Linked DNA regions of Bombyx mori. The protein of the gene in region 1 purifies or fractionates together with the protein of each later gene. This does not show direct contact. Links are inferred from orthologs where the notes say so. Each region holds a gene or a part of one and is shown in the gene's direction. Other genes may lie near its edges.

Region 1 (4,289 bases):
TAGACATTATGTTTGCTTTAGGTTTCATACTTCAGTGGTTTGCTTGTTTAATTTGACAAATGAATCAACAATCATCTGAGAATTGAAAAGTGTTGAGACTTATAAGCGGGAACGTGAGTCCGCTCCTGGACTGAAGTAGTGTGAATTTTTTAATTTTGTTAATTTAATTTAGTGTCTCTTTAGGCTTCAATTTGTAATAGCGGTGGCTTATTAATTGTTTAGAATCGGTGAAACTGCATGAATGTGGGAAAATGAAATAGTCACTGGACGTGGTGGTTTCTTGTCTACGTGCAAACTAGTCTTTGCAAATAACCATCATTTTACTGAGACTTTATTTCATCCCATTGAAACGGGATGGGATAAAGTCTCAGCAATTAAATGAATTGAGTCTCATTTCATTTAATTTCATTCCAATTGATTACAGTCTCTAATAAATCAACGTCATCTTATTGAATCCCTATTATTTTCACTTTTTTTTTATTGATTAGATGGATGGACGAGCTCACGGTCCATCTAATGTTAAGTGGTTACCGGAGCTCAGACATCTACAACGTAAATGCCGCCACCCACCTCGAGGTATGAGTTCTAAGATCTCAGTGTAGTTACAACGGCTGCCCCACCCTTCAAATCGAAACGCACTACTGCTTCACAGCAGAAATAGGCAGGGTGGTGGTACCTACCCGTGCGGACTCACAAGAGGTCCTACCACCAGTGATTACGCAAATTCATTAAAACATCATAATATCACAGTCTCTTTAATAATTCAAATGAAAATATTTCTTTATAGAATGAGTTTTTTATTTTATTTTTTATTGCTTAGATGGTTGGACGAGCTCACAGCCCACCTGGTATTAAGTGGTTACTGGAGCCCATAGACATCCACAACGTAAATGCGCCACCCACCTTGAGATATAAGTTCTAAGGTCTCAGTATAGTTACAACGGCTGCCCCACCCTACAAACCGAAACGCATTACTGCGACAGAAATAGGCAGGGTGGTGGTAGCTACCCGCGTAAACTTATTAGAGGTCCTACCACCAGTAATTACGCAAATTAAAATTTGCGGGTTTGATTTTGGTTTATTACACGATGTTATTCCTTCACCATGGAAGTCAATCGTGAACATTTGTTGAGTACGTATTTCATTAGAAAAATTGGTACCCGCCTGGGTTTCGAACACCCCGTACATCGCTCAACACGAATGCACCAAACGTCTTATCCTTTAGGCCACGACGACTTCTAAACTACGTTATTTTTCAATTAACAGAAAATATAAAAGATCCGGTTTTATGGTATGATTCCTTCGCTTTTCCTGTTAAAAATGAAAAAAGGGTACAGATGAAATATTTTGACATTTGACATTATTTTGACAATGGGATTAAAGTTGAGATGAAAATGAAAACAAAAATCTAAAAGGAAACGCCATAAACCTAAGAGATAGATAGATAAACAATGTTTATTTTTGTTTGAGCAAATTGAAATTTCATCTTCTATATTTTAAAGATCTCTATAAATTCTTATCCTGAGAAAATTGTAATAAAGAATGGAAGAAGAAGACAAGCTGCCTTTAAAAAGAGTAGAATTTTCATTAACGAAGTTTAATGAAGTTGCAATTCCACATCATCTGGATTTACTACGGCAGCACAAGGCTAATATTATCAAAGTGCGTAAATTTGTATTAATTGTGGGTATAGTTTATGTTTATGAATTTAAAGCCTATCGAAGTTGAAAGTTGTTTCATAATCGTTTCCATTTTATGCGCAGTATTTTGTAGTTGTGATGTTGAGCTCTCTGTGAGCTAAAAATAGTTTAAACATCTGTGGAATAGAAGAATGTATAGAAAAAGCAAACGTCATTTTTTTATAAAAACTATTAATCTTTTTTGTGTTACGCTCAAAACTGATACAACTCTAGAATTTGTAAATAGCTTTATATGGCAAACCCAGTCATAAGTATTCACAAGGCATTCTTGTGGATAATAAAATAGAAAGCATTCAGTCTCTATTTTTATGTTCAGTTCAATTTACAATTAGAAACATAAGTAATTAAGATTTGTTTTAAGCTTGCAGTATTTTTTAATTCCAACCATAGGCTAGATTTACTAAATTTAAAAAAACAAGATTTCTACCATCAATTTATGTAATTTCTATATTCTGAAATAATTATAAAATTAAAAGTAATAATTATTCCAAATTTACCTAAAATCTTTTGGCTCTTGCTGTTCTTCCTTATCTTGATTTCAACAATATATGGTTGGTTGGTTAAGAAACAGTTAAACCTTATTTTTTTCTTCTTATAGTTCAATAAGTCATGTGGACTATAAGTAAATGAGATGTAGACAATGTTGATTAGGGCGTTAAGGTACTCTCAGCAGAATCTACCTTTTCTTTTATGTAGTTTACGCTGCCAGCAATTAGGGAGGAGAAAAAATGGATTATATATATATATATATATATACATATATACATCTAAGTGCATTCCCAATCTATTGTTAATCTAGTCTTAAATCTATTGTTCCAAGTTTTGAATATTTTACACTTGTTTGTTACATATGACTAATTGAAGAGTTAGTCACGTGTTTTTAATCACAATCATGGACAAATGGTAACGGTTTGTTGACAAGGAGAGCTGAACTGTGTCTAGTTTGTGAACAGTATGAGGAGGGCGGCGAGTACGCGCGAGTCCGAAGCGAGCAGACGCACGCGCGGCGGGTGGCGTCGCAGCTGCGCGCGCTGCTCGGCGAGCTGGAGGCGCTGCGGCGACGCGTGCGGCTCGACGACCTGCCGCGCTTCGACGCGCTCACCCGGAGCTCCCGGGACAACACGCTCAAAGCGATCATGGACTACCTGGGTGAGCGTACAGCCCCGCACTCTCCTGCTCCCCCAAACGTAACATACATGTATAATTTACTTGGCTCCCACAAAATTTTAGGTATTATTGAAAGCAGTTGTAGGGCGCTAGTGTCGCGCAGGGCGAGCTCTCGACCGATCGGTGAGAATAACTAAGAAATGCATTCTTGTTGGAACTTGAAGTAACACTGTGCTACATTTCATTCATTTTACTAATTAAACTTGAATGGTACTGTTTTTGTCAAACACGCTTAGAAATAATATGCCGTCTGTAAGATAACTTGCTACATAACACTGCGCATAGAGTACCTGTGTTTAAGTTAAACGGTGAACGTATTTCTGTTTCGAACTGCTCTGGGGTAGACCGGTGATATATAAAATAAAAGAGCGGACTGTATTATTTGGTAAGTTTATAAAAAGAGTAAAACAAGATAAAAACAAGTAAGTGTCGCGGGCGGCGTTGCTGCACGGAGTGACGAAGCCGGTGTCAATCCGCTACCCCGCGCCGCTGTCCTCCTCCCGGCGCCCGCGCCGCGCGATCGTCGATGTCCGTGCATCGACAGACTGCCCGGGTTGAAGTATATATGGGTACTTCAATGAAGAGGGAGGGGGCAGATGGAGTTGAAGCCTCGCACCACGGTCCCCGTCCTCGTCTTGACCTCTGCGACCCGTGTGATGCCGTCGCTGCCCGGATACGTCTTGGTAATGCGGCCCAAAGGCCACAACAGAGCCGGTAGCGTCCTGTCCTTCACAAGGACTAGCGTCCCTGGTATCAAGCTCCCTGTAGAGGTGGACCATTTAGATTTCTGCTGCAGCAGAGAAATGTATTCATTAATAAAGCGCTTCCAAAAATGCTGCCTGATGAGTTCCACTCGTTGGTAGCGCTCCAAGCGCGTGATGTTGCCGTCGGTAATCTGCGGGTGCGGAACTGACGTGAGCGGTCGTCCAATCAGAAAGTGAGCAGGAGTAAGGGCAGTTAAATCTAACGGATCAGAGGAAATAGGAGTAAGTGGACGGGAATTTAGAATGGCCTCAATTTGACATAAGCACGAAGACATTTCTTCATACGTGAGGTGAGTAAGACTGAGGAGTTTTTTGAGATGGCCTTTAGTGGCCTTAACCGCTGCTTCAGCCAGACCATTAAAATGAGGGGAATAAGGTGGAGAAAAACTAAAATCTATGCCTTCTTGAGACATGAATGACGCAATGTCTGAGTTTGAAAGGACGCCTTTGAGTTCGTTGCAAGCACCAACAAAATTTGTCCCATTGTCGGACCATATGCTGCGGGGCTTGCCTCGACGAGACACGAATCTTTTGAGAGCAGCTATGTACGCCTCCGATGACAATGCGGTGACGAGCTCGATATGAACAGCTTTTACTGCAAGGCACACAAAAATGCATAAGTATGATTTTACTAATTTACAGCCTCGCCCTTTACGAT
Region 2 (4,509 bases), on another chromosome or scaffold:
CAAACACGAACGGTTTACTTCACGGTGAAACTGGGCAGGACGGTGATAAATTTCCGTCCTGGCTCAAAATTCGGAGTGTATGAGTACGTAGGCAAATAATATTCAATTATCTCAAAGAAGCAAGTTGAGCACATGCGTGGCACGCTTGTCTGCACATGTCTCTTAAAACTGATCAATTTATGTACGGTGACAGTTTTAGCGAGCACGAAACGATTTTAGCTTCGGCCGACACGGAAATTTATTTTAGAACGATCGTGTGATATTTGTGCGATACTGAATTTTTCAATGCAGGGTTGTCAAACGTTCGATTTTCTCGTTTTTTTTTTTCTGTAACCCACAAGCATCAAGTAGGTATGTAAAAATATCGGTAACAATCCATATCCTTATGGTAAAAAGGAGGTGTTTGTTTGTTCTTGAAGATGAAAAACAAAAGTGATACTGGTGATTCATAATAACATGATTATTTTGATTTTTTTTCAGTTGTTTTTGGTATACGAATGTCACGAAAGAATGTTATAAATTAAAAAATCCGCCAATGTAGATAAGCTTAGCTTAATAAATTATTAATGTGTGTTTTATTGTTCGCGTTGTTGTAGTATATGTTGCTTCGAGGAAGATTTCATTCCATTATTTTTAATAAAGGAAACATTTTTCCTTCATAAGTAGATTTAGTATCGCGTCCCCTAATTCTATCAACATCTGGCAGCAGCATACTAAATGTTGGCCACAGTTATTGTCTTATTGGCATAGAATATACTACACTTAACCGACTTACTGTAAGCAAGTGATTTTATTAATACTAGAGGTCCCGCAGTAGTCGAAATTCGACTATAATTAATTGGAATTGTAAGTTTGTACACTATTATTATTGTATTTTATACTTCTATAGTCACAAATTTCGCCAAGACTACACTATAAAAAATATTAACAAAGACTAACAATATTTAATCTATTCTCAATCTGACAACAGAGGTCAAGAACAAAAGTTGGACAATAAATAGTATGCATGCGTGTGTGCGTCAAATACATGGTATGTAGTGTGTGTAATGTTTTCTTTATTGATTTAATGTATCTTTTATGCATTATTTTAAAAAAATATTAGCATTGTGCACTTCTTCTCTATATTCTCTATAAGTGTGGAAAATTTCATACTCCTCCGTCCGCGCAATTTTCGTAAAAAGGGATACAAAGTTTTTGCTTCACGTATTAATATATAGATATCGCGGACTCTTGTCATAGCAACAAGACCAAATTTTCAGTTTTTAAGATAATTCCTCTTATATTTTTAGACACAAACAAATACAAGTCTTGTATTACTGGGTTTTTTCTTTAAACAAAACCAATGAATATTTTGTTGAATTAAATTTGAAGAATAATGCATGCACAGATTAAACAAATCTGTTTTATAATGAACATTTTTGCGCACACGTCGGTCCATTTGGTAACAAAAGGTTACCAGAGTCTTGATATCGCATCGGTTAAACAAAATACAGAGAACACTGGCTAATGTGACTAGATCTGTTTTATTTCCGTCAAAAAACGAATGACATCCTTAACGCATTGCGTTTGGACATTCAAAATCTTTAAACCGTGGGCGGATCGAGAGGACGCCACATCGTATAGTTGCGGTTTGTACTCTTGTAATGCAGCAGTTAAACAATATTCTTCAAAAAAATTATTGAAACTGATAATAATAGTGAAAGCGTCAAATGGTGTGAACAGTGATAATAATTTGTAGTCATATTTATAATGCCTATATTATTCAGTGTGATAGCGTGTGATAAACGAGTCGTTTCGAAATTCGCAACCTGCGATGGTAACTTCGTGGAGATATCCGAACGAATGGTCTCAAAAATACCGGTACATGATCACAAGATGACGTACCTTCACGGAAAATATTTGATTCACTATGTTGTTCACAAGAAAAATATATTTCTTTGTATTACAGAAAAGGTAAGTTACGATTTCGTTTGAAAAGGACTTCTTACAAGTTAAAAAACATACATGAAAAAATAGAATATAAATATTGTTCTGAAAGTTCATTGATAATGTCGTCCAATACATTCGAATTGCTCAAAACACGTCATTACGGATCCTCCCGATCCATTAACGGTGCTTTTAGGTACCTCAAGCACCGGTCACCGTCCTCGCCGAACCCGTCGCTTGCGACGAAGGGCTCGACGAGTAAATTAACCCACAGACACAGCCCACTGAGTTTCTCGCCGGATCTTCTCAGTGGGTCGCGTTTCCGATCCGGTGGTAGATTCTGCGAAGCACTGCTCTTGCTAGGGCCAGTGTTAGCAACACTTCCGGTTGAGCCCCGTGAGCTCACTTACTGAATCTAGAATAGCCCCTCGAGGTTACTAGAATAGGTAGAAAAAAAAACGAATAGTATAAAACGAAAATATCTCATTTTTATTGTGGCCGGTGTTTAAAACTTGTTTTTTTTTTATTTCGTTCTCGTCAATAAATTTCTTAAAGATATTAGTTATTCGATCTGGTGCACTTATTGTTGTCCCATATATCTTCTGAACACATAGCACAGAGAAAATTTGGACGAACGATTGCCACTTATTAAATAGGTTGAATATTGAAACTAAACATATACGTCAGTTGAAAATTGAAGAAACTTTATTTACATATTTCTGTATGTGCAAGATTGTGTAAAGATTTTCTGTTAAATATGAGAGAAGCACACGTCGTTATTCGCATAAAGTTCCCTTATGTTAGCTTAAGTCAGAATTATGTAAATATTTTTTCTATAGTCTTCAAATCAAATGTATTTTCTTAACAGAGCTGTCAGAGATCAAGGGCATTTTTATTCTTAAATCAAATCCAGAGACGATTTGCTGAATACGTAAAAAATTTCGAACATATACTGGCAGAGGAAATGTACCGATACAATGAAGATTACAGTACTATAGTTATAAGAAATGGCGAACTGGATGAATTGAACAGGATCAGCGTTGAAAGGAGTGGTAAGTTTTTTTAAACATTTTTTATTAAACAGCTTTGTAAATATGTAGGATGGTTAAGAACGGAACCTATGGAAAGAGCGTGGAACGGAGTGTTAAGGTGTGAGTGAGAGAAATTTGTGAGAAATAGAGAGAAATAATAATAAAAAAAGCAAGACCGCGAGGACGATGAAGTGAGCGATGTGTAAAAAATGTGTCAATAAATTTTTAGTTATTTATTAAATAGTTTGGTAAATATGTAGGATGGTTGAGAACGGAACGTATGGAAAGAGCGTGGAACGGAGTGTTAAGGTGTGAGTGAGAGAAATTTGTAAGAAAGAGAGAAATAATAATAAAACAAAATGGCAACATGGCGAGGTCGATGAAAGCAGCAATATCTAAAAAATGTGTCTATATTTTTTTTATAATAACAATTAAATTCCAATTATACGTATGTATGTTTGTATGTCTTCTTTATAATGTGATTTGCATCGATTTTAAGACGTACCGACCACTAATCAGAAAGTTTGTACACGAATGAAGGACCGTTAGCTAAACAATAATTTTAATTGCTCTAATCGCTCTGAAATCCTGACCGGTATTCAAAAAAGGTACAAAATAAAGATAAAATTATTTGTTGGTACGGTTTGTAATTGAACGTACGGGTTCTTAAACTACATTTAATTTTAAATTAGTTTTTTTTTCTTTTCAGAAACAATTCTCGGCGAGAAAATGCTTTTAGTTGATAGCATCGATAGTTTATCGTACAGTGTAAGTTTACATAAGACATTAAGCCTACAAAATATAGTCATTAGCTATTTCTCTCATAAGCATGAATAACGTAAATGCCATTGTCTCGAGACATGATTTCTAACTCTGTTCTACAGTATAACAAGGACCACCCTTCAAACGGGGATCCTTACTGCTCCGCGGGAGAAATACGGGGTTGCCTTTAATTTTGATTTTATTTAGTTTCGCTCGTTATAAATGTCTCTGCCGGATGTATGAATGCGGCGGAAAAAAAGACTATCAGTTTCAACATTTTAAATGGAAAAAAATTCACAGAATACCTATTAAATAGTATGTATGAGTCGACTATTATCAAAGCCGGCAATGTGACTTTTGGACAATTATTGGTAAATCAGAAAAACGAATTATTGACTTTGTATTCCATTGGCAGTCACAAAACTCTTCTGCACGACATCTTAGATAAATAACAGGTTAAGTATTAACCTTTATTTAAGCAGGTTTTGAACCGTATTCTTTGAAGGAGACGATTATATTCAAATCAATCTGTATTGACATATCAATAACATTTTTTTGTCCAAATGCACAGATTGCCACCTTTGATAATAGATGACTCGTATAAACAAAATCTATTACCAAATCAAGTTTTTTATTTTTTTATTGCTTAGATGGGTGGACGAGCTCATAGCCCACCTGGTGTTAAGTGGTTACTAGAGCCTATAGACATCTACAACGTAAATGCGCCACCCACCTTGAGATTTAAGTTCTAAGGTCTCAGTATAGTTACAACGGCTGCCCCACCCTTCAT

The links.
Region 2: the proteins of syntaxin-17 (region 1) and vesicle-associated membrane protein 7-like purify together in Drosophila melanogaster (affinity purification with western blotting; 4 studies listed by BioGRID, with this or other methods). This does not show direct contact. The link is inferred for Bombyx mori from reciprocal best matches to the Drosophila melanogaster genes Syx17 and Vamp7.

Annotation. Positions count from the first base shown.
Region 1 is NC_085130.1:9,434,818-9,439,106, reverse strand, and holds the start of syntaxin-17, read left to right. Parts: upstream 1-1,369; 5' UTR 1,370-1,542; coding exon 1,543-1,662; intron 1,663-2,653; coding exon 2,654-2,849; intron 2,850-2,930; coding exon 2,931-2,990; intron 2,991-3,241; exon of another isoform or gene 3,242-3,441; coding exon of another isoform or gene 3,442-4,289. Other genes in the region: uncharacterized protein LOC105842541, read right to left, coding at 3,442-4,289.
Region 2 is NC_085119.1:6,315,072-6,319,580, reverse strand, and holds the start of vesicle-associated membrane protein 7-like, read left to right. Parts: upstream 1-1,559; 5' UTR 1,560-1,749; coding exon 1,750-1,953; intron 1,954-2,794; coding exon 2,795-2,978; intron 2,979-3,666; coding exon 3,667-3,725; intron 3,726-4,509.